2 linked regions of the Xenopus tropicalis genome follow. The protein of the gene in region 1 interacts with the protein of each later gene in a biochemical or structural test. Links are inferred from orthologs where the notes say so. Each region holds a gene or a part of one and is shown on either strand. Other genes may lie near its edges. The genes, in order: hus1 and rhno1.

Evidence for each region.
Region 2: the proteins of hus1 (region 1) and rhno1 form a complex in vitro, tested with the Homo sapiens proteins (2 studies listed by BioGRID). The link is inferred for Xenopus tropicalis from reciprocal best matches to the Homo sapiens genes HUS1 and RHNO1.

What each region holds. Positions count from the first base shown.
Region 1 is NC_030682.2:59,392,317-59,408,134, reverse strand, and holds the end of hus1 (checkpoint protein HUS1), read left to right. Parts: intron 1-2,076; coding exon 2,077-2,204; intron 2,205-2,873; coding exon 2,874-3,050; intron 3,051-6,567; coding exon 6,568-6,675; intron 6,676-7,567; coding exon 7,568-7,642; intron 7,643-10,131; coding exon 10,132-10,231; intron 10,232-10,839; coding exon 10,840-10,965; intron 10,966-13,221; coding exon 13,222-13,304; 3' UTR 13,305-13,412; downstream 13,413-15,818. UniProt on the Homo sapiens protein: Component of the 9-1-1 cell-cycle checkpoint response complex that plays a major role in DNA repair. The 9-1-1 complex is recruited to DNA lesion upon damage by the RAD17-replication factor C (RFC) clamp loader complex.
Region 2 is NC_030679.2:10,379,543-10,395,883, forward strand, and holds rhno1 (RAD9, HUS1, RAD1-interacting nuclear orphan protein 1), read left to right. Parts: upstream 1-6,665; 5' UTR 6,666-6,769; exon of another isoform or gene 6,770-6,962; intron 6,963-8,147; exon of another isoform or gene 8,148-8,190; 5' UTR 8,191-8,228; coding exon 8,229-8,396; intron 8,397-11,118; coding exon 11,119-11,679; 3' UTR 11,680-11,822; downstream 11,823-16,341. Other genes in the region: foxm1 (forkhead box protein M1), read right to left, coding at 5-40, 1,139-1,267, 1,405-1,602, 1,692-1,843, 2,640-3,213. UniProt on the Homo sapiens protein: Involved in microhomology-mediated end-joining (MMEJ) DNA repair by promoting recruitment of polymerase theta (POLQ) to DNA damage sites during mitosis.

The sequences.
Region 1 (15,818 bases):
AAGAACACTAAGGAGCAATAGAGCTTTATCATTTAGTGCTCATTTAGACAGCATTCCTTCTCACTTTTCACCAGATAAAAAATCTGGCATGAGGGAAGGACAGGCCCCCATTACAGCTTTTTCCTTTGCTGGCCCCTAACTTGTGCCTATGAATGACATGTTTACATGTCTTCCCCAATCCTGCCCCTCAGGTCTTTGTACTCCAAAGCATTTTTGTTTGGTTGCATACCTCTTCACTTTTTTCTAGCTTATCAAGAGCTAAAAAACGTAGTATAACTGGGGGTACCCAGTGGAGGAAATTTCTATCATGTTGCTTTTTTATGGAGTCCGAAAACATTTTGTTTTTGTTCACTAATAATGAAGATGAATTCATATAAACTTGAGTGTTGAAATAGCTGTAAATAACTTCTTTTCCCATGACGGCCTGTCCTGTCAGTGCAGACATCAGGGCCTCCACCTTCCCCTAGTATCCACAGTGCTCTTCTCCCACCGGCAGTATATTTTGTCCTGCCACAGGAGGTGGGGCTCTGGGAATTATCCCTACGTGTCCAGGCAATGCGCAAGTCCATTCCCTAGGTACCTGGGCTGGGCTCCCCCTCCTTACCAATCTCGCCTGCCAAATAACTTATTGTGTTTTTTTTGTTTAGGTCCTGTGAATGTGGATATAATTTATATCGGGAGTGATGTGGCCCCTTCTGAAGTTTTATAAGGATATTAGAATTTTCAGAGTTTCAAAAATCAATCCATATTAAAAATGGCACCTATCTAATGTTAACCACCTTGGTCCCTCCTAGTTGGCTTTTAGCTGTGTCAGACATTGGACACCCCATCAACTGTGGCTTAAAGCGGACCTGTCACCCTAAGAAATAATTCCAGGTTGTTTTCAATTGTGTTTGTCAAGCAAAATAAACTTCACTTATACCATATAAATTAGTTTAATCTTCAGCCTTGGAATTCACAGTTGCAGTAAGCAGGCAGGTATCATTTTGTGGACACTGTTATTAAGGCAAGCTTTGCATCCTGCCAAAATCTTATTTCTGTGTCAGTATGGGGGGACCTGATGCCATGTCTATGCACTGGTTACAAAATTAGATTGTGAGGAGGGGGGGGAATGTGAGGAGTGCAGCAACATGTAAGAAGTTCTGAATTCAAAGTGAAAGTAACTGCCAGCCCCACCTCTATGCCTAAAGGTGGCCATACACGTGGCGATCTGACGATGTTTCGTACGACCATCGGTCGCACGAAATATCGTAAGATCCGCCACACACTATTCAGGGCTGAATCGGCAGGTAAGGAGGTAGAAACAATAGGATTTCTACCTCCTTCTGCCGATTCAGATCTGAAGGGAGAATTTTGGTCAGGCGCCTTCTATGGCGCCCGATCAAAATTTTCCAACTGGTCCGATCGGCGAGTCGTCCGATATCAGCAGGTTCCTGCGATATCGGTCGACTCGCCGACATACTATACACGCACCGATTATCGTACAAACGAGGTTTCGTACGACAATATCGGTGCGTGTATGGCCACCTTTAGGCATAGAGGCTGGGCAGGCAATATATGATTGACAATTGGAATTTTTAAGTGCTTTTATAATGGGTTTGGATGTGTTAATAAAAAAATGAGTTTGGGGCACATATTATATAATATAATAATTTGCAATGGGCTTTTTTTTTTTTATACAGCTTTTTATGCCTGGGTGACAGGTCCTCTTTAAGGCACGGCTTACATCAGTGTTCCAACCTATTGGGTAATTGTTAGTTCAACATCATTGGTACAGCAGTCTTTTTTTCTGGTTTTGGACTCTCGCCATGCCTTCTTTCCATGACTGCTGTAATAGTCCTGGTGGGGGTGGAGCAATGACAGTAGTATGGCGTTACTGTTTACTAACAATAGTAATAACTAGTGGTTGAGGAGAGGCAAAATCGTAGTTTTATTATGTTACATCAGTGCAAGGAAGATTTTTAAAGTATTACAATAAAACATGAAGAATGCATCAGTATCACTGCATTGTAATTGTGTTTCAGTAACGTGTGTGTTGTATTTTAATTTTCTCTTTCTTTGATTTCTCTTCTGAAGGAGTCATAAATACAATAAGCAAGCTGACAAAGACATGTACCCTCAGGCTCACCGTTAACAATCTGTACTTTATTCTAACTGACAAGGTAGCCAATGGAGGAGTCAGTATGTGGTGTGAGCTTAGCCAGGTAATCCACTTTGGTAATACATGTAATTATCAAACTCCTAGGATGGTTGCTCAATATTCGTTCAAATATGCCTTTATTAAAAAGAAAAAAAGTTTTTAAAGAGTTTGGTAACTACTATTCTTATTGGACTAATCACAGTCCTGTATTTCAGCTTTTTGAGCTTCTTACATCTGTCTTAATCCAACCAGGGCTCTATGTAAGAACGCTATTACGACCAATGCTAAAGTTTGCTGCCAAGCATATATGACCCTCTGTTTCTGTTTTCTAAAGCACTGTACTTGCACCAGATATGAATTTCCTTTACCTGGTGTAAGTACCATGTTTTTTTCTCTTTTGGTGAAGGCTCTTTCCTGTTTCAGCATGCTAATAACAAATGCATCAAGCAACATTTGTTAACCAGTTAACGCCTGTGATTGAAATACTGTCTGCAAGCCAGGCCTGATCAAGCTTTGTCACTGGTCAGCCTCACACATGCTTCTGTGGGTGGCTGGAAGCAAATCTTAAAAATATTCTCACATTTAGAGAAAAGCCTTTCCAGAAAACTAAAGGCTATTGTAACAGGAAACGAAGGCTTGACTACTTTCAATACATTGATTGAAATGATCCAAAACCTAAACAAGGTCAATGGGTTTAGGATATTTTTTTTTGAGAATTTTGTTTATATTTCAGGGCAATTTCTTTGATGAATATCAAATGGAAGGTGTTTGCATGGAGCAGAATGAAATCTTCTTGGAGCTGATACCTGAAAATCTTTCCCGAGCATTAAAAACTGCTCAGAATGCTAAATCTGTGAAAGTAAAACTGACAAACAAGCATTGCCCATGTCTGACAGTGGCTCTAGAGTTGGTAAGGAAATTTGAATTTTATATCGGCATAATTGTATTTTGTCTACGAAGGCATGTTTGTATGTAAAATCTTCTTACAAATGTTGTTTGTAAGTATTATTATACATTTTTTTTATAGCGCCAGCAAATTATACAGCTCTTACAATGATTTAACCATCAAGGGTTTTGAGTAACAATAGAATCATAGGGCCCTACTTGCAAATGCTTACAATCTAAAGGGGTTAAGGGTACAAAAGGAATATGGAAACAGATTGATGATATATGATACATAAATAAATGTTGGATCAGTCGGGATATATTGAATATGCTTTCCTAAATTGATGGGTTTTTAGGGAGTGTTTGGAAGGAAGGGGAGAGACTGATGGCTCGAGGCAGAGAGTTTCAGAGACAGGCAGAAGCCCAGAAGAGAGTCAAAGGTTATAAGCAAAGCATAAATTGCATAATCTGTGTGCACCTTTTCCTGCTGTTAGGAAAAGATCTCTCTAGATTAATGTCAAAGTTCAAAAAACACGTGGAAAAGCCACCTAGTTTTTTACACTACCCCACTGTCAACTCTTCTAGACACAGTGATTTTTTACACCCCTTTGTGTTCTAGCACTTGTTCTGGATAATTGTAAATAACTTCTTAGGACCTTGACACTCAAAACTGTCTCACACCGATCCAATCGGGCAAGTATAAATGAGGATACGATAAGACCCCGATACTGTAGGCATGGTAAGAACAAAATTACTTCCCCACCCCTTTCTATCACATAATATGATAATAAATAGGGTTGTGGGAGAGCTGATTCAGGAACATACATGAGGAGAGTGGTTATGAAAATGTGAAAAAGATAAAGGGTGAAATAGTAAGAGGCAGGAAGCAATTCATAAAAGTTTTATATATATATATATATATATATATATATATATATATATAAAGTCATGCAAAGCAGGCACTCGCGTGAAAATGGAGCCAAAAATGCCTGGGTGCAGTATATACAAGTGTAGTACAAAAATAGCAAGGATGCCGCACTCACAGGTCTTAGTGCAATAAACAGAAAATTTATTAATACAGACTAACGTTTCGGCTGTCACTGCAGCCTTTTTCAGCCTTTGAAAAAGGCTGCAGTGACAGCCTATCGTCTTGATTTAGGCTGATGCCACACTTTGCATATGGCGTATATTTTCGGCAACCTGAATATCGTTTGCCGAAAATAATGCCATACGCTCCTACCTGTGAAATGGAATATGCTCGGGTTCAGGCACATGTAGGTCATATCCTCAGAAGATATGAAGTCTTGCGTTTTTTGGTGGATATCAGCTACATATGCCTGCATCCGAGCGTATTCCATTCGTTCAGGTCCAGGCACAAGGTAGGACACTTTTACAGTAGCGGGCGTATTATCGGCAAGGGTTTTTTGGCTTGCCGAGAATACACCCTTGCGGCATCAGCCTTAAATCCAACAAGTAGCTAGGTCAGGAGGCAGGGTTGGCCTTCTCCAATTCGCTATAGGTGAAGCTAGTTCAGCCATTATTTCATCCCTCCCATATAATTAGCTCCTTGTTAATATTATTTTTTTCCCTAACATTGCTTTCATCCTGACATGATTGCTCTCATAGTGATATGAGCCAAAGTAGAGGGTAGATTGCCACTGAGATTATTTGAAGGAGTTAAACTTAGAAGGGGAGGAATTGTAGTAGAATAGATAATAAAAGTGATGTAATGGTATAAAAACAAGCCACCCTTGTTATGCATTCATTGTCTCAAGTGATTTATTTCTGGGTAACTATATAGTTCAGAATCTTGCTCCCACTCAGCCAGCTAAAAATAACACAAGTGTTTCAAGAAGCTCATTTCAAGTAGTTCATTAAGGCAGAGAAACTTTTATAATTATAAGTTACATAAAAAAATGCTGTCATATAAAGGAATATTGTACTTTAACTATAGTTATTTTGTTAAGCAGCAAGATCTGGTGTAGGCCATTATATGTAATCTTCTTTAGGAGTACTCTGCAGTAAGCCTTGACTTGGTTTCTTATGAATGTGGAGGTCAGTTGGCCTAAAACTGGGTATACACAAACTTTTGTTTAGTTGAATGCCTGTGTGTCGCTTCATTCCAAAGTAAAATGAATCCTGTGAAGGAAGTTACATTTTGCAAGTTGTACATTTTTAGGAAATTACGATATCACTTATCATTATTATTAATATTATTATTTATTTATAAAGCGCCAACATATTCCGCAGCGCTGTACAATAAGTGGGTTTCATAAATTGGACATACAGAGTAACATATAAAGCAATCAATAACCGATACAGGAGGTGAAGAGAGCCCTGCCCAAAAGAGCTTACAATCTACAAGGAGAAAGGGTTGAGGCACAAGGTGTGGGAATGGGCATGACCAGAGTTGTGAGAGGTGTGGCTCAGGGTATTGCTTTTAGCAGCACACTGAGGTTATGTTAAACTAGATTAGGGTAAGCTTCTCTAAATAAATGCGTTTTTAAGGATCTCTTGAAGGCAGAGTGACTGGGAGAAAGTCTGACAGTTTGTGGGAGCGAATTCCAGAGGGAGGGCAGCCCTTGCAAAGTCTTGAATGCGAGTGTGTGGGAAGGGAATGAGAGAGGAGTTGAGGAGCAGGTCAGTAGAGGAGCGTAACAAGCGGGTTGGGTGGTACCTAGAGATGAGTTCAGAGATGTAGGGTGGGGCAGAGTTATTAACTTGTTCACATGCTTTTAACTTACCACTATTAGACTGATGTTTTGCTTCAAAACTTTGTTTTGTAGCATACCATATAACAGACATTTTCTGTGGGCCTGCGCTTTGTTTTCTGAAGTCCTGTGCAGGGATCTTCAGGCAACTTCGAAAAATGAAGCCCTGGGTATAACTGGGTTACTGGCAATTCACTTTATTGCCTGTAGGAAGGCATTTTGGGGAGATTAGTCGCTCACAGAAGCAGTGATGTGCCATCGCTCTAAGGCTTATGCCCTATGGGGCGATTAGTTGACTGAGATAAATCTCTGCTTACCGTGGGTGACTAATCTCCCCGAAATGCCTTCCCACTGGCAATAATGTTAACTGCCGATGGGAAGGCATATGCATCGCTAAATCGACTGAAGGAATTTATTATGGGTGACTAATCTCCCCATGGGGTATTAACCTAAAGCAAGTAAACTTTTTAAATAAAAGGTTGTTGTAAACTAGTAGTGTGCTCTTTGTCCAAATCCTAGCATTCTTATTTTCCTTTTCGTTTAAATACATTTAAAATGCAATACAGTTTTAGAATATTGCAACCTAAGACGGTTTTCAGTTTGTTGGTTAATTTACATGAGAATACATAGGGAAACAATATTACATTTCCACAAAAAGATTGTGCAAGCATTTTTTTTGTTTTTAATAATTTACAGATTCTTCCATGTTATGAAAATGCAGTACTTGCTTTTTGAATGCCTACATTCAGAATTTTGTAAACTACTGATTTGGTATTTTATTGATTTCTGCATGCTGTCAAGATTTGTGCAATTTTTTTTTCTTTCACTCAGCCTTCTTTATCAAGTTCAAGTCGAATTGTTACACATGACATTCCTGTAAGTGTTATTCCACGAAGACTCTGGAATGATTTTAAAGAACCAAGCGTTCCTGAGTTTGATGTAAGTATTTAATGGTTTTGCTTTGCTAAGTCTTTTCTTGCTTACAAGTACATTATACTGACAGGTATATTTGTTTGGTAGCATTTTAAAGGCATTCCATTTTGGAAACGTCTTCCCCAGCTACTATGTTTCAAAAATGCCCTTATACTGCTTAAGTTTGCAATTCTCAGACTTAGGTTCTTAGTTTTTTGTGTAACATAATCTTAAAGGACCGTGTTATGATCACTGTTCCCTGAATGCTCATCCACACTATTACTGGAGATAAATTTGTTAATATTAGTTAGTACCAGACCTTAAACTGCATCTACCCTAGTAGGCTCCTAAAGCAGGGGTCCCCAACCACCGGTCCGCGGACCAGTGCCGGGCCGCCGGCTGCTTTGTAGTGGGCCGCCTCTGTTCCTGGTCGCACTGAATATGCGCCCATAAAAGCATGCGCGCAACCCCGCCCACCCACCCTCCAGTCCGTGGAAAATTTTACCCGCTTGCCAGCGGTCCTTGGCACAAAAAAGGTTGGGGACCACTGTCCTAAAGTACCTGGAATAAAAAGTTTCTGTCTTGGCAATCCCATTACACCAGTCACTGTCTGGTTAATTGTATTGGAGTAGTGCAGTAGGGTTGGCAGACGCCATTACATATAACTAAAAATTCTCTAATAAGCAATTGCTGACTTTTTTATTTATTATTTATGCCTGTAAAAATTTCACATCCTGTTACAGTTTGCGTACTAAATTCTTTACATGATCAATGCCATTAATATTTATGATGTTTTACAGTTGTCGCTAAGGACATGTAGAATCTTTGAGACGATTTAAAGTAGCTAAACCGCTCTTTTCAAAAGGAGCTTCAGGTATGCATTACTTTACATCACTGTATATATATTTTTCCCTTTTAGGTAAGCATTTATTTGCCTGCTTTAAAAACTATGAAGAGTGTCGTTGAAAGGATGAAAAACTTAAGCAATTATATAGTAAGTATATATATATATATATATATATTTGTTTTTTTAATTTAGAAGATTGCAAAGCCTTGTGTTTTTTTTTTTTTATTTTTGAATAATTTTTTATGAAAGCCAATTTTTCCCATTAAAAAGTTTCTATAGTATTATCTATAAATGCTAGGTTATATAATGAATGCAGTGTATTTTATGTCAAATTGAGACCGTCAGATTGCAAATTTCCTGTGGTGTCAGTGAGAATTTTTTTTACTGAACATAGTAGAATTTTATCTCTAGCAAAAATATTTCAGTAAGTGAAATGACTTACTAACTGATCTCAGCACTGCTTAATCTTGAGAGCATGGAAGCTCACTATGTTCTGTGCAAACAGCTCACATAAAGCAAAGTGAATCTGCCCCATAAGACAGCAGCCCGAAATAAATGAATGAGTTGAAGTAGGACCTGAGAATGCCTGGAGAAATAAGGGGAAGAGCATAAATAAATGAGGAAGAGAAGGGAATGTGGGGCAGAGGAGATGAAGCATATAAAAAGTATAGGAGATTTAAACCTTGGACATTTGGTTTGAAATATACTGGCTTCTATTTCATGGTAAAGTAATGATGCTCTTGTGTCTGATATACACATTGTTAAAACAATTTTGCTCCATTTCTGTCATTGACAGAAGGGGAAAACAATCACATTTCAAAATGTTATACTCTCAATGACCCTTTTTTTGGTATGCAAATTGCTGTTCAAGGATATTTAAGTGTGTTCTATTTATAGAGCACCATACAGTACACAAAACTACTTGGAGCTAGAGGTAATCCTGAGAAGGATAGGTAAATTATTAAGGCCTTCGGCACACTGATCATTGGCTCTGCTGCTCTTAGCCTGTATTTTTTCTGCAGGAGAAAAGCAAATCGGCTCCTTTTCACATCTCCATGTATCTGCAAAGTACAGCTTCTGCTTGAGTGGAGGTCATCCCCAAAATTTCCTGCTTTTTGTGTTTTTTCGGCCGACCTCCGCTCCCTCCGCAGTAGTTTTTCAGCGCAGATACATGGAGATGCAAAAGTAGCAGATCTGTTTTTCTTAGCCTGCAGAAGAAACGGAGGCTGAAAGCAGCGAAGCCACCACTCAGTGTGCCCTTTGCCTAAAGGGATTTTATGATGGTGCCAATGTTGCTGCTGTTCACAATGTTAAAGAGCCACTTAAGGTTACATATTTACTGTAAGAGACCATTCAACAAACTGTCTTGGTTCCTTAATCGCCAGTAGATCTTTCCAGAAGACACTAGAACATAATTTGCAAACCAAAAAAGGAGGCTACAAGTTTATTTTTCAGTTAAGGTGGCCATAGTCTAGCTGATGGTAAAAGTTCAGACCAAACATGCAGGTATTGTGCTGTGTCCATGTTCTAATGCTTTAGTGGTCTCAACAACTGATCTCACAGGAGGTAAAATGGGACCTCCCTTATCCTCTACTGATGTACCCACCAACAAATGCCTGTGCAGATTTCTCCTAAGACAAATGAGAAAACACTCTTAAGTAGGCATGTACTAATGTTCGTATTTTCTTTTTTTTTCACGATTTGTGTTTTTTGCACAAAACCACATTTTTGGTAATTTTATTATGCATGAAAACCACTAATACAGGACTCCATCTAAAAGCTGTTAAGGTCATGAAAAAGTCAGCGGGAGTTGTCTTAAGTAGATTGTAATAATTTTTATTTGATCCATGCTTTTAGAGGTGTTTTTTTTGTTTGTTTGTTTGTTTGTTTGAAAGTCCACTAAAGGTGGCCACACACGTGGCGATCTGCGTCGCGCGAAAGATCGTCAGACCCGCCACTTACCTTCAGGGCTGAAACGGCAGATAAGGAGGTAGAAACAATAGGATTTTTACCTCCTTCTGCCGATTCAGCCCTGACGGCAGATTTTGCTCAGGCGCCTTCTATGGCGCCCGATCAAAATCTTTTGACCTGCCCTATCGGCGAATCGACCGATATCAGCAGCCTCCTGCGATACCGGTCGACTCACCGACTTGCCATACACGCACCGAATATCGTACGAAACGAGCCAGATTCGTGGAAAAACCAAGAAAGCTTTGTGGTTTTCATTCTGTATTTTAATTGGTTTGTGCTTTTTTTTTTTTTTTTTTTCCAATTTGAATCTTTTAATAAATTCATGGTTTTAGTGGACATGAGATGTGATTTAAAAAAAAACTCTGAAACCAGGAAAATGAGAAGGTTGATAAATGAGATTCCCCGTGTCTATTGGTTATTTTTGCAGAGTATATGAAGAATATTGTTGCAGTAACCAATATGGCGGTCTCCCACCACTCCCATGTTTTAAAGCAGAGAAAACATGTTTTGTGCACACAGTGAATTGTAATTTCCTGTACTATGCATTTTTTAGAATTACATTGAGTTTCATTATGCAAAAAAAAAGTGATTTGGAGTTAGGACCCTTTCAACTGAACTATTAACATTTTTTGTCTGTTTTGTCTGTCTGTTCTTCTCATCTAAAGGTAATTGAAGCCAATAGAAATGGAGAAATTAACCTGAAGATAGAAACTGACTTAGTTTCTGTTTCAACTCATTTCAAAGATCTGGGAAATCCTCCTTGGGGTATACTTCTGATAATTATTAGAATTATGTTGTATAGCGATTCTCACTTTCCACAGGGAACTATCCATCATCTTCACCCATCTGTGTATCCTCCAGCATCTCTGAAGCACAGCAAGCCAAAAATCTGGGGTTTTCTTGATAAGTGATCATTCCATCCACATCATAATGTAGAGCATATGATGCCTTAAAACTGCAAAAAATGTAAAAACCAACCTGTGGGATTATTTTGCCACCAAGATGCACTTTTGCTGCCTTAAGGTGGCCATACGTGTGGAGATCTCAGCTTCAGAGTCGAATTAGCTAAATATTGGCCACCTTTAGTTGAGTATATCGGGAGATGATCTGCTTGTTTGGTGACCTTGCCAAACAAGCAAATCTTATCATGTATGGCCACCTTATATTTTCATGAAGCGGTTGGCACTGACTTATTGCAAAGTAAAAACAAATCCGTAAAAAACAAAAACTTTGTTTTAATAGGACTCTTGCAATTTCATATTTTGAGGTTTTCTAGATAACAGGTTTCCTGATACTGGATCTCATAGCAGTATATTTATTTTCTAGAATATTGAAGTTGATTTTCTAAGTTCCTTTTTTTTCCTGAATTTCAGTTTCAGATGATGCCTCTCAAAATAGCACTCAAGAAATAGATAATATGGCAGAGGCAAGAATAGACATTCGAAAACTTTTGCAGTTCCTTGCAGGACAGCAGGTCAATCCTACCAAAGCTATATGTAGTAAGTTTGTTTTTTGTCCTTGTTTTGTGTTTTTTTCTGTTTTTATGCCTGTGTGATAATAATATAAGCTGTTGCATTAATACAATTAATTTTTTTTCTAAACACCAGCAGCAGTAGTATAGACAAAGTCAAACTGTTTGGGATGGAGTGAAAATGATTCTGATGTAGGGGTCTACTTTTAGTGAAGTTATTGCATTGTGGTCTACCACCTTCGGTTTTGTACAGCAATGAGAAATGTCACCTTGAAAAGCAATGCTGCCTCTGAAAACAATCTACAATTCAGTTACATTTCAATTAGATGTGCCTTGAATATTGATCCATTTGACCTGTTTGGAATCACCAGTTTAATATATATATGTAGGGATATAAAATCTCCACTACTGACTGACCATGTTGAATAATGGGGACTAATACTAATTTGCGCGATAAATCAGTTTATGAACTTAGCTGTTTCTATTGAAATTTAGGAATATTCTAATAAAATTGCCCCAAATCTTATCTTTATTGAAAATTCAACACATTTACTGCATTATTGTGGGATAAAAACACATTGACCACCCAAAACCATATATTTTTGTAAATTACACATTCAGGTATATTTAATATGGGTACCCATGTCTTTCTACTCCTAAGTACCAATTTCAGATTCAGCAGAATGTGTACTTTCAAAATCAGCTGTATTTTCACACACACAAAAAATCTTACTCTGCCAGGGTGCATAAAGTATATGAAGGTTCATACAATCATACAACCATATGCTACTTATACCAGGCTTACTCGCCCTACAGCATTTGAAACTCTAGCTCGCAACGGCCTACCACAAAAGAGACTCATCTCTATCATATACAATCTACTCACTACTCCTCCAGATGACCCTCCCTATAAGCACAAATATATGGACAAATGGGACGCAGTGCTACCACAACCACTTACACCCGAGGAATGGGCAAGCATCTGGGACAACGCCAGAAAAATGTCAATGTGTGTCAGGCAAAAAGAACACATATACAAAATCATGATGTTCTGGTACCACACCCCAGACAAATTACATAAATTTTTCCCAACCTGCCCATCAACTTGCTGGAGAAACTGTGGAGCACAAGGAACCCTTCTGCATATATTCTGGGAGTGCCCAGCGATCCAACAAATGTGGTCACATGTAGCCGACCTCATTAGCAGGATCTTCTCCCAGCAGATACCGACAGACCTGCCTACCTTCCTTCTAGGAAAACCTTTCACAAAACTATGCAAAAGCGGCCAGACCTTGGTCAACCATATCCTCACAGCTGCCCGGCTAACAATAGCCTCCAACTGGAAAACCACAAACCAACCGACTTTGGCTGAAATAATAAAAAGAACTAATACAAACAGGATCTTCGAACACGGGATAGCAGTACTTCAAAACAAAGTTGCACAATATATGAAAGTCTGGACAATATGGGGACTCCGAGGCCTAGCCTCTTGACCGAACCTTTTCTACCCCTATCACTTCCACACCCAGACCGCCATGAGGATTATTACTAAGCTAATCGCTCTCCTCCTCTCTATCCCCTATCCTCCCTCTACTCTCATTTATGGCTTACTCATATAGTTATATGTTTTCATCATGCATCCAATTGTTAAATGGTTTGATCTCTTAATCTGTATACCTCCACCTCTTTTCCCTCTCCCTCATACATAATATTAATCACTTAGCCTTCAGTATAACTTCCATAGATGACAATAAGGCACTTGCATTATGTACTGTTTCTTTTTAATATGCTACTCAAAGAATGTATAATATAAAAGCCAATGGTACAATGTAATAACCATGCACTGAAAAAATAATAAAAAATTTTAAGTTACAAAAAAAAAAAGTATATGAAGGTTAAATATATAGAAAACATTTCAGCCACATTTTTATTATGCAGGATAGCAAATAACGTTTCCTTAGGACTGAGCCTCACCTGCCACTGCTTAAGGCAGAGGGGCCAGCCCCATAGTTTGGGAACTACTAGTCTAGCACTTATCCAGTTACAATAATAAAGGTAAATATCCAATGGTAAATTCCATGTTTAAGATGTTAGTGCTAATTTGCACTTTTCTGGGGCATTTACCTATAGGTTTTAATTTTAATTAATTTGACGTTTTTCCCATTGTTTGCTATTGTTTATAACCAGTGGTCCACTTTTCCCTGCTTGAAGAGATCTCTGCAGTACTTCCTGTATGATAGGTTAAATTTGAATCAGCTGAACTAATTTATTCACTTTCTTTCAGATATTGTTCATAAACGGATGGTTCACTTTATTTTGCTACATGAAGATGTCTCCCTGCAGTACTTCATCCCAGCCCTTGCTTGAGAATCCAGTGTGCAGGCTGAAAAAAAAAAAAATTTTCTTGGGAATTTACATCATCGTGATTGCAGTCCCAATAAAAAAAAGTTACATAAACAACAATTTGCAAATATACTGCAATATTTGTTTTTCTTTCAAGAGACAGTCCTCTCAGATGTGAGGATTTTATAAACCCAGAAGTACTTTGGCATTTGTAAGATCATACATGGTGGCTTCACTTAACATTTAAGCACATTCAAAATTATTACTTAAGAAACCTTTGTATAGTGTTAGTAATTTATTTGCTATTGAATTACAGGAACATATGTTAACTACTTAAGTAGCTGCTTTGGTCGCTAAACATGATGCCATAAAGAGGTTGAAACACATGCAGTTCAAGTAACAGAAATGAAATGAAGCGGCAAAAATGCTCAGAAGAGCAAATGTACTTTTTTTTTTTTTTTTTTTTTACTGCTTACATACATTTATTGAGTCACAAAAAGAATGAAATGAAAGGTATAATCACTGGGGGAGTGTTAGGCACCCTTCAGTGACTGTAATCACTTAACTCAGTGCTGTCCAACTGGCGACCCCCCTCTGTTTGGTCCCCCACCAAAAGTTTTTTAATATATAGTTATTGTGCAGACTGTAGGAGCAGTGCCAGCATTGTGTCACTGTATGCTGCCTGTGTGTGCCATACAGCATAGGGCAGGCAGAGTATGGCACACACAGGCAGGATGGGGCAGGCACAGTATGGCACACACACAGGCAGGGAAGGGAAGGCAGAGTATGGCACACACAGGCAGGGTAGGGCAGGCAGAGTATGGCACACACAGGCAGGGTAGGGAAGGCAGAGTATGGCACACACACACAGGCAGGGTAGGGAAGGCAGAGTATGGCACACACACAGGCAGGGTAGGGAAGGCAGAGTATGGCACACACAGGCAGGGTAGGGAAGGCAGAGTGTGGCACACACAGGCAGGGTAGGGAAGGCAGAGTGTGGCGCACACACAGGCAGGGTAGGGAAGGCAGAGTGTGGCACACACAGGCAGGGTAGGGAAGGCAGAGTGTGGCACACACAGGCAGGGTAGGGAAGGCAGAGTGTGGCACACAGGCATCGTAGGGCAGGCAGAGTATAGCACACACAGGCAGGGTAGGGAAGGCAGAGTATGGCAGGTTTTTGCTGTACTACAACCATTAATATGGGTATGGTCATGTGATAACACGGGTGTGGTTTCAAAAAGGGGAGTGGTCAAAACTGGCTTCCATTATCGGCCCTCCACCACGTAGGTTGGAAAAATTACGGCCCTTGGTACCACAGAAGTTGGACAGCACTGACTTAACTGATACCCCAGCCTTGCGCTCCTGTTACTGCAATGCTCTTCCTTCTTCTGTCTTCATGCCACTGTGAAAAGCTGAAATGTAACAAAAAAAAGCTGATTTTTTCACTCTACTGCACATGCCTCAGCCCTGGGATCTAAAAGAGAGGAAGAGAATCACTCACTAGCAGGTACCCCAGGCCGATGCAGTTCTCCGTTAACAAGCCCCGGCTGGGATAGTAGGTAAGTGGTTAAAATCAGTGGGGGTGCCCCCCACCAGTGATTGTACCTTTCCTTCTCCTTTCAGTATGTCTACTACTGACTGATTTAAATGGATTTTGCAGTAAATTACTGCTATTTGGTATGTCCACATTTGTTATTTATATGATTATTATTCAGCGAACCAGAGACCAGCTTCTCTGTTTCAGTATTACACTAGAATGTTTTGGGAGAAGAATGGCTGGGCTGTTAGGAATCCGTTTCTCTCGGTTCCTATGTGCATAAAAATCATGGGGAACAAGATGTATTGCCAAGAACAATTCTCACAAATAGTCCCCAGAGGACTGGACTAGATAGGACTGAACCATTGTGGAAATATATGAATTGCCAATGAAGGGGTCTGCCATTATCCAGTTATTATGACTGTTGAAGACTGATTAGTTTCTGGATTTTTCCAATAAATTTTCAAAAACAAAGTTTTGCTAAGAATATTTTTCCCCTCAAAATTAACTCAAGGGTTAGAATGTAACAATCAGTTTGGATTGAAAATGGGGCAGCAGAACAGTATAAATTAAAAAAAAAAGTGGAGAAACAAGGAGAAACCTACTTTTTTTTCCAGTTTCTGCAGTAGGCACGAGTCACTGGCTTTTTTTTTTTCAACTATTGGCAAACAGCTAAAAAGGTTACTGATGAACCCCAATATCCTGTGCCTAAAATCTATACATGTTCCAGGGGAAGGCTTTCACAGCAGTGTTTTGTTTGATCTGAAAGAAAGGAAGTCAAGAACACCAACAAGGTCAGGAAATGCTTATTACTTTTTCCATAAAAAAAATCAATAGTAGGGATACAGATTCTATCAGATTCTATGGGGGGAATTTCACAAAATTGGAAAGAGCCCTTTTTTGGAGTAAAAGTGGTTGAAAAACTGATGAAAAACACTTTCTCCAGATTCACAAACAGAAATCCACCTAAATTCTGACTCAACCGCCACTTTTCCGTTTTT
Region 2 (16,341 bases), on another chromosome or scaffold:
ATACCGGTTCATCGTCTGCAGGAGACATGGAAACTGCAGTCTTCAGGAGATGAAACACAGGAGCACAGTATAGAGGGAGGTTTATTAGAGAGAGAGAGAGAGAAAAAAAAGTTAATTCAATATCACTTGTAATCTAGCCCAGGTTATCCCTTGTGTGACAAAGCTCAGCAAGGGAAACATTATATAAATCCATTCCACTGAGCTATTGCGGGCGACTAACTGCTCCTCAAGCCCTTTGCATCGCTTTGGTAACCCGAAGTTGCACAGAGCTTCCTCCCGTAGGCAATTTCGTACGACTTCGGGAAAACGAAGCGACGCAATGGGCTTTCCAACGGAGACTCCAGTTAGTTACCCACAATAGCAGAGATCTATCACTGGCAACGGAACCTCTCCGACCCTTAAGGTCCCCATACACGTTAAGATTCGCGGCGGATCTTCACCCGATATCCCCACCTACGGGTGGGCGATATCGGGGAGCGTGTAGGTTAATTCGATCGAATTATATTGGCGGCAATGGGGCAGTCGGTTCGGGGACCGCATCAACGAGCCAATGCGGTCCCAGAATCCGACTGAATCTTTTAACCTGCCCTAAAGGTGGCCATACACGGGCAGATCCGCTCGCTTGGCGATGTCGCCAAGCGAGCAGATCTTCACCCGATATCCCCACCTACGGGTGGCGATATCGGGGAGGCATGTCAGTGAATTCGATCGTTTGGCCCTGGGGCCAAATGATCGAATTCTGCACGGGCAATGGGGCAGTCGGTTCGGGGACCGCATCAACCCGATCCGACGGGATTTTCTAACCTGGCCGACCGATATCTGGCCAATTTCAGGCCAGATATCGGTCAGGCAGGCCCCTCTTTTCTGCCCCTAGACGGGCCGATAAGCTGCCGAATCGGTCTAAGGGACTGTTATGGGCAGCTACAATCGGCCCGTGTATGGGGACCTTTAGGGTGGGTGGGGTTATAAGCACCCAGATCCAATAATATTGTCAGCCAACCCCACTGATAATTCTGAGCACAATCTGCGATATTCACCTCGTTACTCCATTGATAAGTTTAATATTCACCCCCCTTATAGCTGCGCCATAGAGATAGATGTTATGAACTCTAAAGCATAAAATTGAAGGGGGTCTCACCTTGAACACCTGGTCCAGGGTCAAGCAGCGATTGGCCTGGGGGTGAATGGTCCAGTAGGAAACCTTGTTGTTGGCCTCGCTTTCCCGTACAAACATATCGTGCAAGGAGAGGTTGTGGCGGATAGAGTTCTATGAAACAGAATGGAGTTAGAAAGAAGCAGAGACACTCACGTACATTTCAACTGAGAAATCCCCTTTAAAGAAAATCTCCCACCCTCCTGTGTATAACCCTCAGTGAGTTAGCCCCGCCCAACATTAAGTCCCACCTTCCAGCCAGGTTTGGCCACATGTTTAAAGTACGGGAAATGATCCTCGATCCAGGTGTAGATATCCTTCAGGGTCATGCGCTTCCTGGGGGTGCTGTTGATGGCGAACTGGATCAGAGCCATGTAGGAATAGGGGGGGCGCTCAGTGACAGAGACGGGCCATTGTGGATCAGGAAAAAGTTGCGATTCATCTTCCATCTGGGGTATTGGGGAGAGATAGCAGACTAAGGAATAGGACTAAATGCAGTAGGATATAAACACGGGGGGGGGGGGGGGGGGGGACTTACCTTTGGGCAGCCTGTCTCTGGGATCTGATTCTCCTTGTCCTCATGTTCTTCCTCCTTTATACTGTATTGCCCCAAGGACTCGGAGCTCATGTTCCCCAGCCACTGTATGTTGGACAGGCTGGCATTTAGCTGCTCCTCCTGCTGATGCTTGGCTATAAAGGGAAAGAGATGGCCAGAGATCATTTTCAACTTAGAGCAGTGGTTTTGCTACTGTTTGGCTTCAAGCTTTCCCCGGTGGCTTCCAAACTTTGGGGCTGGCCCTCTAGGACACCCAGTGTAAAGGCCACACAGGCCGAGATTTAAATAGAATTGGGATATGCTCTCCTAGACAGGGCCGCCATCAGGGGGGCACAGGGGGGACAGTTGTCCCGGGCCCGGCAAATCTTCACTTTTAAAGGGAGCCCAGCCGTGCTACAGTTTTCTGACTGGCTCGGGCCCCCTTTAATCTATTATGGCCGGGCCCTGTCATGTGATTGGTCGCGCCCCATGTGTACGTGACGTCAGTACGCACGGGGCACAACCTTTTAAAAGGGTCTGTCCTGTAGAGGAATGCAACGTCATTGGAGAAGATGGCAACGTCAGAGGAGAAGCAGCCGACTTCGGGAGGCACTGTCTATGGGGGGGGGGGGGGGGCAATTGGGGGCACTGTCTATGGGGGGGCAATTGGGGGCACTGTCTATGGGGGGCAATTGGGGGCACTGTCTATGGGGGGGCAATTGGGGGCACTGTCTATGGGGGGCAATTGGGGGCACTGTCTATGGGGGGCAATTGGGGGCACTGTCTATGGGGGGCAATTGGGGGCACTGTCTATGGGGCAATTGGGGGAGGGTCTCAGATGAGTGCACATTGTAATGAAGTGAATGTTACCTGCATCTGATCTAACACTGTGCAATACCTGAGCCAGCCCATTACTTTCCCTTTACACGGATCTCATTATACGTGCAGTACCTTTCCTGCTGCTCCCGGTGGGTTTTTTCTTGGAGAGGCACGCTGCTTCTGACTGTAAGGGCGCACTCTCTTCCTCTTTAATTTGGAGCGCTTGCTGCCACGCCTGAGTCTGGATAGCGGATTCGCTGCTGATGATGATATATTTGTTGGGGCCGCCGTTCTCTTTTCCTCGGGCGGTTAATGCTTGAATGATGCTCTGGACATTGGATTGAGAAGGAATGATCACCAGCTGAGTGTCCGGCGTTGTGGGGTGACCCACGATCCGTACCCCAGGAATGAAGCCTGGAACGCCTTCTTGACAGTTTTGCTGTGAGTTTGCTGGAAGTCCTATTCTAGGGGTGATAGGATCCCCACTTTCGCTCCCAAGGTTTGGCCCAGGGGCCCCCTGATGCGCTTTCGTCTTGGATGCCATATCTTCCAAGCCATGGACAAGGGTTTGCTCAGGTGGATTCGCCATTTTGTTCATGGCGGCTTTGCCCTGCTGGGAGGACCCCGGGCAGTCTGTGGCATCTTGACGAGGGAGGCTGAGCTTGCGTCTCTTGAGTATGAGTGGCCTGCGTGGGCTTGTTCTCATGGTGCAGTGGCACGGCCAGCAGCCATTGAGAGCTCAGAATGAAGACTTTTTATCAAATCGCTTTAAAAATCAAAACACAGAACATGTTACGTTTTAGCTGAACATTTGCCCCACAGTTTATCTATCACCCCCAAAAAGCTGGATGCCCTGCTCTGCAACATACATGCACATATCCATGGCATGAAAAATAATGGGGAATAAGAACTGCCCACAGATTGGCATAAAATAAATTCATCAGTTCTAGATCAGATCTACAATCATAGAGTGGGTTCTTGTTGGCGTTACATTCCCCAATGCCCCTCATTCAAGATCTAGTGCCTGGGCAACGGCCAAGGGATACCCCCAACAATACAGCAGCTGATGCATAGAATGATATGCTTTGTGCTATGGAACAAAGAGGAAGGATTACAGGCATTTATCTTACAGTATCCTTCATAATTACCTCCCTGCTCCTCTGATTGGTTTGTAATGGGAGCTGGACCAGCTGAAAATGTAGAACTGGTCCTTCTGTAAGGTTCTTGCTGTATGTGCGCTACTAGGGGGTCTTAGAGATCTGTTTCCTCCCAGAACAACAGACAGAAGGCAAAGCCATTGTATAACTCAACAACTTCATTATATGGGGGCACTAAGAGCCCCTCTGCACTCCCCCATTATCACACACACATATATATATATATATATATATATATATATATATATATATATATATATATATATATATATATATATAGAACATTAAGACATTCTGTGCATTAAGCTACCAATGCACAGAATATATGGACAGACAATCCCTGTTTTTGGTATGAGATCCCTTATCCGGAAACCCCTTATCCAGAAAGTTCCGAATTACGGAAAGGCCATCTCCCATAGACTCCATTATAAGCAAATAATACTAATTAACTTTTCTCCCTAAAACCAACATCTATTAAAAGAAAGCTGCTATTTCCGGGAGAATAAATGCATTATCATGATTACAGGTATGGGATCCCTTACCTGGAAACCCGTTATCAAGAAAGCTCCAAATAACGGAAAGCCTGTCTCCCATAGACTCTCTGTAAAAGTAAAACAGTACCTTGTAATTAATTCTTACTGGGGGCAGAACAGCCCTATTGGGTTTATTTCATGGTTAAATGATTCCCTTTTCTCTGTAATAATAAAACAGTACCTGTACTTGATCCCAACTAAGATATAATTACCCCTTATTGGGGGCAGAACAGCCCTATTGGGTTTATTTCATGGTTAAATGATTCCCTTTTCTCTGTAATAATAAAACAGTACCTGTACTTGATCCCAACTAAGATATAATTACCCCTTATTGGGGGCAGAACAGCCCTATTGGGTTTATTTCATGGTTAAATGATTCCCTTTTCTCTGTAATAATAAAACAGTACCTGTACTTGATCCCAACTAAGATATAATTACCCCTTATTGGGGGCAGAACAGCCCTATTGGGTTTATTTCATGGTTAAATGATTCCCTTTTCTCTGTAATAATAAAACAGTACCTGTACTTGATCCCAACTAAGATATAATTACCCCTTATTGGGGGCAGAACAGCCCTATTGGGTTTATTTCATGGTTAAATGATTCCCTTTTCTCTGTAATAATAAAACAGTACCTGTACTTGATCCCAACTAAGATATAATTACCCCTTATTGGGGGCAGAACAGCCCTATTGGGTTTATTTAATGGTTAAATGATTCCCTTTTCTCTGTAATAATAAAACAGTATCTGTACTTGATCCCAACTAAGATATAATTACCCCTTATTGGGGCAGAACAGCCCTATTGGGTTTATTTAATGGTTAAATGATTTTAGCAGGCTTAAGTTATGGAGATCCAAATTAAAGAAACATCTGGAAAACCCCAGGTCCCGAGCACTCTGGATAACAGGTCCCATACCTGTATATATTAATAATGGGGGAGTGCAGAGGACCTCTTGTTGTTGTTGTCTATATGAACTTTGCAGTCACAGCTTTATTGCACCTCTGCCTAATGGTTTAATCAGGGGTGCTCAATCTTTTTAAGCAGGGGGCCAGTTCACAGTCCCTCAGACTGTTGGGGGGCCAGACTATAGTTTGTCCCACACCCCTGGCTATAACTGGCCTGCCTCAGCGTGGTCCTTGGCTGCATCACGTTACCCTGTCACACCCGCCGATGCTAATGTGTCCAGCGAGGGCCACGCTGAGGCAGACAGGTAGTAGCCAGGGGTGAGGACACAGCAGGGGTAGGTAAATGCCCGTGGGGGGCCGTAGTTTGAGGACCCCCTGGTTTAAAATGTAATGGTCAGCACAACTTTCCCTTTTTTTGCACTAAAGCCAGAAAACATGTTAAATATCCTCAATTTGTAAATAAAGTTGCCATGGCTGCGTGGTTTCATCACTAGCACAGTGCCAGCGGCAGATAGTGCCCAAATATACAGTAGCTGGGCAAGTGGCCTTACTGACCCATTGCGGGACCCCCCAGCAATACAGCAGCTGATGCATAGAATGATTTGCTTGGGGCTATGGAACAAAGAGGAAGGATTACAGGCATTTATGGTACAGCATCCTTCATAATGAACTCCCTGCTGCTCTGATTGGTTAGTAAGGAGAACTGGACCAGCTAGAACGTTATTCTGTTAGGTTCTTGCTGTATATGTGATACAAGGGGGTTAGAGATCCCTTCTCGTGTGTTTCTAACTTTATTTTCCAACCTATACTAATTCCCTAATAACACCCGCACTGCTACAGAGTGAGCGACAATGGCTCTAGCACCCCCCTTTACTGATTGTTAAAGCCCCTGTCCCCTCCTCATTCACTGAATAGGTCACTCATTACCCATTGAATTGATGGAGGAGGAGGGTGAGGCAGACAGAAGGCAAAGCCATTGTATAACCCAACAACCTCATTATATGGGCGCACTAAAGCCAGAAAACAGGATACATTTTCACAATTGGGAGATAAAGTTGCCATGGGCAGATAGGGCCCATATATATATATATATATATATATATATATAAAATATGTGGCTGAACCATTGCAGGACACCCCCTCCCCCAAAAGACCATTAAGACATTACAGGTGGGTTGTAGTTGAACAACAGCGGCTTCCATAGAGTGGAACATGACAGTTCCATATTGAGAACTGACACCCCCTACACCCACAGGCCTCCATGCTCCTTCTACACAAGCCTTGCACCCACCCTCATACACACACAGCCCCAACTTCACGTCCGATGACGATCTAACCCGATCTAAATACCTGTTTATAAGACGGTGTCAATATCGGGCCTTTCCGTGGTTTTTGAATTTTCGCGCTTTCGGGCCCGCTTAAACCCACGTGACCACATCGACCAATCCACAGCGCGTCCCTAGCGCGTCACGCATCTCTCGACCAATCGCGCAATCAATCAACGAGTTCCTTTGGCAAAGAGCCAATCATAATGAGCGAGTTATAGAACGCTCGCCGTAGCCAATCGGTGTCGGGGAAAGAGAGAAGCCCTAACGTATCCCGGAAAGAAGGGGATATTACAGCGCTGGGCCGGAATGTTCGGGGGCTACCTGTCCGCTTATTAAGGGTTTGTAGCTGTCGGTGGGTTGTGGGTGCAGTTGTGGATAACAAATTGATTGGTGGGGAACATGCTGATTGGACCTGTTTGTTTTAAACGGAATCGGAGCCGTCATGTTGGGAGCGCCATCTGTGGGTAACTCATGGTATGACAGGAGGCAGAGACTAATGACTGTAGCACTCAGAGCTTGGCTAACGTACAGGTATGGGACCCCTTATCCGGAAACCCGGTATCTAGAAAGCTCCGAATAGACTCCATTTTAATCAAATAATTCAGAATTTTTAAACCTGATTTGTTTTTTCTCTGTTATAATAAAACAGTACCTGTACTTGATCCCTTGATCCCTGGCAGAACAGCCCTATTAGGTTTATTTAATGGTTAAACGATTCCCTTTTCTCTGTAATAATAAAACAGTACCTGTACTTGATCCCAACTAAGATATAATTACCCCTTATTGGGGGCAGAACAGCCCTATTGGGTTTATTTAATGGTTAAATGATTCCCTTTTCTCTGTAATAATAAAACAGTACCTGTACTTGATCCCAACTAAGATATAATTACCCCTTATTGGGGCAGAACAGCCCTATTGGGTTTATTTAATGGTTAAATGATTCCCTTTTCTCTGTAATAATAAAACCGTACCTGTACTTGATCCCATCTAAGATATAATTACCCCTTATTGGGGGCAGAACAGCCCTATTGGGTTTATTTAATGGTTAAATGATTCCCTTTTCTCTGTAATAATAAAACAGTACCTGTACTTGATCCCAACTAAGATATAATTACCCCTTATTGGGGGCAGAACAGCCCTATTGGGTTTATTTAATGGTTAAATGATTCCCTTTTCTCTGTAATAATAAAACAGTACCTGTACTTGATCCCAACTAAGATATAATTACCCCTTATTGGGGGCAGAACAGCCCTATTGGGTTTATTTCATGGTTAAATGATTCCCTTTTCTCTGTAATAATAAAACAGTACCTGTACTTGATCCCAACTAAGATATAATTACCCCTTATTGGGGGCAGAACAGCCCTATTGGGTTTATTTAATGGTTAAATGATTCCCTTTTCTCTGTAATAATAAAACAGTACCTGTACTTGATCCCAACTAAGATCCCTTATCCGGAATACCCTTGGTCCCGAGCATTCTGGATAATGGGTCCTATACCTGTACCAGCAGCAAGTATAAGGATTTAGAATCTAAAAATAAGGCAGTGGGATTTTACAGGCAAAGCCAAAAAGGTTTGATCTATTTTAGATCAAACCTTTTTGGCTTTGCCTGTAAAATCCCATTGGCTTATTTAATGGGAGGCTTATTTGCCCACTGCCTGTCAGTGTTCTGCACCTCATACTAATCCTGCTGTCCCTCTGTTTTTGTGCCTTAGGGCTGATTTTCCTGGATACAGCCATTTGTTTATTGCCCCTTAGCACCATGTGGCTGCTGGCGTTCCTGCCATTAACTGCCGATGCCTCGTAAGAAGCAGACCTCATACAACGCAAGCAAACCACGCCTGGTGTTCCTGGAAAGCCCAAAGCAGGGTCTGCGCCATGAGTATGGACTACCCCCTGACAAGGCGGCCCACCCTGTATGTGTGCCCACCAAACCTCTGGATCACAATGCATCCGCCTCTTGGGTAAGTGTTGGGTATTTTTTCATTGCTACATTAGTTTGCTTTGATTCAGGAGGGTGTTAAAGCTCTGGGCTACCCTGGGATCTAACACCCCCATTCATCAGAATGGCATTCAGCTGTTTACAGCAATCACAGTCTGACCAAGGGATACGTTGCTTTGCATTGATGAATGTTAAGGGGTTGTAAACCTTGCTGCACTGCTCAACCAAACTTTATTTAGTTGTTGCTGGACTATAAATCCCAGAATAATGTAATATATGATAGTTCAAGCATGCTGGGAGCTGTAGTCTAGCAACATCAGGATTGCATTTTTAAAGCAGTATTGCACAATAAAACTATTCCCCAAATCTCCACAGCCAGCAACTGCTTTATAATGCAAAACAATTCTCCAATGAGAATCCCTGATTCTGTAACAAGATATAGGCTTCTAAATGTCATCAGCAACAGGCCCACTGAACAGTTTGATGCCCATTGTGCCATCTTGGAGTCAGGAAGGAATCGTTTCCCCTCTGGGGCAAATTAGAGAGGCTTCAGATGGGGTTTTTGCCTTCCTCTGGATCAACTAGAAGTTAGGCAGGTTATATATAGGCATTATGGTTGAACGTGATGGACGTACGTCTTTTTTCAACCTAACTTACTATGTTACTATGTATATTGTGCATAGGTTTACATAAGTATAGGGCATGTAGGGGCCCCAAAATAAAAATGCCCCCCCATATGATCTGTCATTTTAGTTACTGCACAATCAACATATTTACTGCATTTTATGTGGGGTAAATCCTGCCTAGTGACAAGGAAGAAAAGGAAAGGTAGGGTTTAACATCATAGGGGCATATTAACCCTATGGGTCCCTACACATACAATGACAAATCACCCTAAATATGAATGGCCAATGGCCTACTGAACAGTTTGATGCCCAATATGCATAGATATACCAAAGTCTGCGGTATGTACTGACCCCAAAATGAAAATAGCGCATAAGGATTTCTCGTCTGCAACTCAGCTTTTGCACACAGAGCCCCCTGTCAGTGTATTATGTGCAGTAACCCCCCCCCTAACTATACACAGACCCCCAGAAAACCAGTGTCGAACTGGGGTACCTGGGGCCCATCAGAGAACCGCACCCTAGGGACAAACCAAACACAAAAGCTGTTGCTGCGACCACCACCCACCCCCCTACTATGTATGGAGTCCAGCTACACGTTACACATTTATCATCTGCAACATTTCACCAGCAGGTTTCAGTGAGGCCTTCAGTATTTTGGTACCATATATTAAAGGAGACATATCCTATAAAAATTATAAATGTACCAGGGAATTATGCTCCTCTAGATATAGACGGATTGTGCTAAAAAAAAGTTGTGTTTCAGACTGATTTATTGAGAAATTCCCCCAAAACCCCACTAGCCCCGCCCATCTGTTCCACTTCCTGCTGGCTGAATTCTCTGGATGTTCAGGGGAGCCGGCGGCACTCAGTACACTGCACTGTAGGATAGGAACCAATCAGCAGCTAGGCTGACCTGATAGGGAACTGAAGCCTGTCTGTGCTGGTGTGACTGCAGGGCTGTGATTGGCTCTCCCCCTCCTACTGTGCTTCTGGCAGGGACTGTTAGGACACGCCCACTCGTCATTTCAAACTCTGACAGAGAAGTGATACGATCTATAGGGAGCTCCAATAAAGGAGCCATTGTTACAGATAGGGTTAATTTTTTGCACAAAGGGAAACCTGCACCGTGTATTATTTGTAATTGCCTACAAAATTAGGGATTTTTTTACAAATACCACACCTATATAACAGCAATTACACATTGTGACAGTGCTGCAAATCATAACAGTATGTAAGATTTGTGATGTGCTGAGTCTGTTTGCCTACACCATTGCAAGGGAGAAATTAGCCAATGGCCTTTCAATTTATGCAGCTGGTTAGAGTGCACAAGCAACCAATGAATTGGCCCAATAGGGAAAAGGTAAGGGATGTGATGATGTAAGCATATAGGAAGTTGTCAGTGTGTCAGGTTCTCCCATCCAGGGAGACAGGGAAAGGACATGGAAGGTGAACAACCCCTTTACATATGTTTATAGAATGGCCTATTCATAGTAACCTTTCAGTTGGTCTTCATTTTTTAAATTTTTCTTTTTTTATATAGTTTTTGAATTATTTGCCTTCCTCTTCTGTGACTTTTTACTTTTCAAATCGGGGTCACTAACCCAAAAACTATTGCTTTGTGAGGCTAAAATGTTATGGTTACTTTTTTATTACTTATCTTTCCATTCAGCCCCTCGCCTACTCATCTTCCAGTCTCTTATTCAAGTCACCGCCTGGTTGCTGGGGGAAATCGGACCTTAGCAACCAGACAGCTGCCAAAATTCCAACCTGGAGAGCTGCTGAACAAAAAGCTAAATAATTCAAACACTGCAAATAATAAATGAAGACCAATTGCCTCATAATATCACTGCCTACATTATACTAAAAGTTAATTTAATGGTGTAGATTGTAAGCTCTTTTGGGCAGAACCCTCTTCAGCTCTTGTATCGGTTATTGATTGCTTTATATGTTACTCTGTATGCCCAATGTATGAAACCCACTTATTGTACAGTGCTGCGGGATATGTTGGCGCTTTATAAATAAATGTTAATAATAATAATGGTGAATTTCCCCTTTAATCTGTGTCACTGTTATGATTTTCCCATGCACTAAAGACAAGGTATGTGCTTCCCTACATAGGTTACCCCGCAGTTTGACCAGACGGAAGAACTGCACTTCCCAGCGCGCCGGAGGCTCCGCCATATGTCCAGCAACACCACTCTGCAGAACCGCAGTGAGCTGAGAGGGAGCGGAACCAGACCCGGTGCCTGCAAATTCCCCTCCTTATCATTTACAAAGGGGACTGTAAAAGCCCCAAGAAAACGGTCGGTCTGTGCCAGGCCAAAGCCAACGCTTCCCAAACGAAGGGAAAGAAATGTGTTACTGTCTCCCCTTCCACAAGAAGACTCATGCAGCAATGTACTTACCCCCCCAGATGTACGGACCCCAGAAACCAGCCTTAACTGCAATACAGAGTTACCCAATGGAATACCCGTGGGCAGGTCCCCAGACAGAGGGCAGGATAAACCAAGGGATGGCTTTGACTCCCCGGTGATGACCGGCCCATCACATGTACTGGCAGAGGATACACCAGAGCACGAGTATGGGGTGAAAAACACGTGGCGGCGTAGGGAACAACTCATGACCTACCTGAAAGCACGAGGACGGCTAAAAAAAAGCCAAATTGTGGTACAAGTGTGACTCAAGGCTCCCAGATTCATTTATCACTGACTGACTTGCGAGCGGAGCCTCTGCTGAACTGCTGTACATAGGCAGGGAGCGGCCTATTGGATAAGGGTTTCTGTCACTCACTATAATGAATTAAACCTCACTATGCACTTTTATTGTTGGACAGTTTTGGTTGCTTTATATATGCCTTGGTTCAGAAGAGAACCACAATGTAAGCACTTTACGGGCTGCTGAAGTCAAAGTAAAATTGCTCAAAGTGCTCTTCGGAGCACGTCCACACTGCTCAATTAATATGGAGGCTCTGACTGAGGGAAATGTATGGCTGAGCTTACAGCCAGATGGAAGAGGCTGTTTCCTTCCAGGCCAGTATCTGTAGTACCCTTCGTAAGGTCCCCATACACCTTCAGATCCGCTCGCTTGGCAATGTGGGGCCAAACGATCAAATTATGACGACGGGTATAGGCAATGTCGGTTCGGGGACCTTATCAACGAGCCGATGTGGTCCCTGATCCAATTAGATCAGGGGTAGGGAACCTTTTTGGCTGAGTGAGACATAAACACCACATATTTTAAAATGTAATTCCGTGAGAGCCATACAATGGCTGACGGGAGCAAGGCCGAAGCCAGGGCCTCGATTTTCGGCTGCCTGTGGAGGACGATGTGGCTTCAGGCCCATTCGGCCGCGGATGCTGCGGGGGAAGGTAGTGTGGGTGTTATCTTTAGCTGTTCACTATGGCTTGTTAGTGGTATAACTAGAGGGCTACCTAGCACAGTGCACAGTTGGCTTCTCTTTGTAGCCCCAACAGAGACATATTGGCCACATTTTAATTTCAATTCAAGCGTGAACTGTCACAGGTTTCTGCTCCAATGTCCCTCTCAGTTCACTGGGCTCTGGTTCAAGTGCAACCCGGTAAGGATGCCAGATGCGGAGGAGGGCGTGGCCTGCGCTCGGCGCATAGAAGACGTGTTCTAAGGCTTAGAACACGTCTTCTATGCGCCGAGCGCAGGCCACGCCCCTCGTTATTTTTTTTTATTAAAGATTTGGCAGAGAGCCAGATGCAGCCATCAAAAGAGCCACATCTGGCTCCCGAGCCGTAGGTTCCCTACCCCTGGGCTAGATTTTCTAACCTGCCCGATCGACATCTGGCCGATTAGCTGCCAAATCAGTCTAAGGGACCCATATTGGCAGCTACAATTGGCCCGTGTATGGGGACCTTTAGGTACAATCATATCTTGTCAGTGATCTGTTACAAAGCAGGCAATGCTCAATATGGTGCCTCATTAGATAAGTTGCATATTTCAATAACAAGTCGGCAATTTATTGGCTTGTGTAGGGGAACATCTTCCCAACTGATATCCGGCAGATTTGAAAGTCTCATTTGGTAAAGACAAGGCAAGATGATTCCGTCCTGTAGCTCATGTACCGGGATTCACAGCCCTATTTGAGCATCTGGAGAGTTCCATAGCCAGGTTTCATGGGTAAAACTGATCATGCCATGGGCCAATGAAGGCTGCTGAGCACTTTGCCCATAGATGCGTGCCTCCCAACACATAATTGAAGTGTCTGTTGGGCAAATATTAAAATCCCACTGGGCAATGAAAGCATCAGCTTATTGATATCGTCCTTGCCCAGTGGGTACCCATAGGCCACGTCTTAATCCAGTCATTCGACAAAGATCTGATCAGCCCAATATGGCCGAGTGGATCTTTAAAGAGGCTGCTCACCTTTAAACTGTTAAAAAAAAAAAAGTTAAGCTGCCAAATCGAGTCCTTCAGACCGATTTGGCAGCTTATCTGGCTGTGTATGGGGTCCCCCGACTGGCCTCCCTGATGGCGAAAATCGGGCAGGTGTTGATCAGTCAGGTTTCATTTTCCCATTGGATCGAGGATCGCATTGGCTCATTCATTCGGCCATTTGCCTGTGGCTCCTTTACCGGAATGTGGCAGGGGCCTGTCTTGCTAAGGAACTACCGGGGGGGGGGGGGGGGTACATTGTTTATGGAATGGAGGTTTCTAACAAAAACAAAAACTAAAGCTCCATAAGGAATTACACTTAAAAAGTGCTTTGGGGCTATTGTACATGTCTATTACCAGAGAAGATCTGTGCTTTGGAGATGCCCCAGTAGCTCCTCATCTTCTTTTCTGCTGATTCCCAGCACATGCTTTGGGCTGCTGTCACTCAGGGACCCACCTACAGCACAAACAGTATATAAAATGCAGAATACAAGGCTGATTAGTGACTTATTCAGAATTACATTACATGGAAACCAGTGCAGTCTGCATCAAAGTTGATTAATAATCAGCACTGTAGCATCAGCTTCTATGGCACATGTGACTGCTAATGTATAATGATTTCTTCTAATCTCCCATAGCTTCTCAGCAGCAGCCCAGATATGTACCCATATAAAGGCACAAGGCTGAGTTATACAGGGAACCCTGAGTATCACTCATGTATTATAAGGGATAATGTACCCCCTACTGTAAATGATAAGGATATTAGCAGTCACTGAGGGGTTCTGTGCCCATATAAAGGCACAAGGCTGCAGGCTGAGTTATACAGGGAACTCTGAGTATCACTCATGTATTATAAGGGATAATGTACCCCCTACTGTAAATGATAAGGATATTAGCAGTCACTTGAGGGGTTCTGTGCCCATATAAAGGCACAAGGCTGCAGGCTGAGTTATACAGGGAACTCTGAGTATCACTCATGTATTATAAGGGATAATGTACCCCCTACTGTAAATGATAAGGATATTAGCAGTCACTGAGGGGTTCTGTGCCCATATAAAGGCACAAGGCTGCAGGCTGAGTTATACAGGGAACCCTGAGTATCACTCATGTATTATAAGGGATAATGTACCCCCTACTGTAAATGATAAGGATATTAGCAGTCACTGAGGGGTTCTGTGCCCATATAAAGGCACAAGGCTGCAGGCTGAGTTATACAGGGAACTCTGAGTATCACTCATGTATTATAAGGGATAATGTACCCCCTACTGTAAATGATAAGGATATTAGCAGTCACTGAGGGGTTCTGTGCCCCCCATATAAAGGCACAAGGCTGCAGGCTGAGTTATACAGGGAACTCTGAGTATCACTCATGTATTATAAGGGATAATGTACCCCCTACTGTAAATGATAAGGATATTAGCAGTCACTGAGGGGTTCTGTGCCCATATAAAGGCACAAGGCTGCAGGCTGAGTTATACAGGGAACTCTGAGTATCACTCATGTATTATAAGGGATAATGTACCCCCTACTGTAAATGATAAGGATATTAGCAGTCACTGAGGGGTTCTGTGCCCATATAAAGGCACAAGGCTGCAGGCTGAGTTATACAGGGAACTGTGAGTATCACTCATGTATTATAAGGGATAATGTACCCCCTACTGTAAATGATAAGGATATTAGCAGTCACTGAGGGGTTCTGTGCCCATATAAAGGCACAAGGCTGCAGGCTGAGTTATACAGGGAACCCTGGGTGACTAAGTATCTTCACCTAAAAGATATATATTACATTTTACACCATTTATAACAAAACGCTAGAAGGTATTTCGGGTGCCTGAATATAAATAATACATCTCAGCACACTCTAATCTGAAGTAAATGCAGGGCAGACAGGGAAGACTTTTATTGTTCTACCAATGAGTGTTGACAAATCTGTTAAAGCAATAATATTTGAAAACTACGAGCTGTAGAAAGCTGCAAACACTCGAACGCCCCGCCCTTCTTGCTCTCCCTTCCACACACCCTCACCCCCCACCAGCCCGCCCACACTCGCTCTCCAAGGCTCTGCCCTCACCTCAGTCGCTTTTTTGTCAAGCCAGCCAATAGGCTCTAAGCTTGTTGTGCTGCCGACCAATGGGAAGGCGTACTACTGCGTGGTGCGGTTGCTAGCGCCGGTTGCCAAGGGACAGAAGTCTGTGAGTGCCTAACGGGACAGGGAGCTGCCGGGATGGAGAGGACCGGGGAGCGGAGCGGAGGGACCAGGTACCGGGAGAAAATGACCGATATTTGTGTTACTAGAAATGGATTAGGCACTCACAGGCCGGACAGTACCATAAGGGAGGGGGCGGCAGGACCTCCTCTGTGTAGATTCGGAATGTACCACTGTGCTGTTGTGCAGGGGAGGGAAGGGGGATACTATGAGCTGAAGTTTGGGGGGGAAAGCTTTGCTTCTTACATTCTTAGTGAGGAACCCTGGTCTGGAGGGTGATTCATTTTCTCCTGCCCCCCCCCCCCCCAGATTCTTAGGGGTCCTATCGGGGTGACTGTAGAGAGCAAAGTAGAAAGTACATATCTTATACTGTATGGCAGTTATATAAAGACCTCCAACTACAGCTTGCCCAGGGGCATTCTGGGAGTTGTAGTTCAGTAATCATTGCAGATGCCAGGAACCAAGTAGCATAGGCAATATCCCATTCTGAGGTGGGACTAAATAATAACAATATGGTAAGTGGGGGGCTCCAGGTTAGTGTGCCTGGGAGAGGGGTACAGGTATGGGACCTGGTATCCAGAATGCTCGGGGCCTAGGGTTTTTCTGGATAAGGGATCTTTCCGTAATTTGGATCTCCTACCTTAAGTCTACTAAAAATCATTTAACCATTAAATAAACCCAATAGGGCTGTTCTGCCTCCAATAAGGGGTAATTATATCTTAGTTGGGATCAAG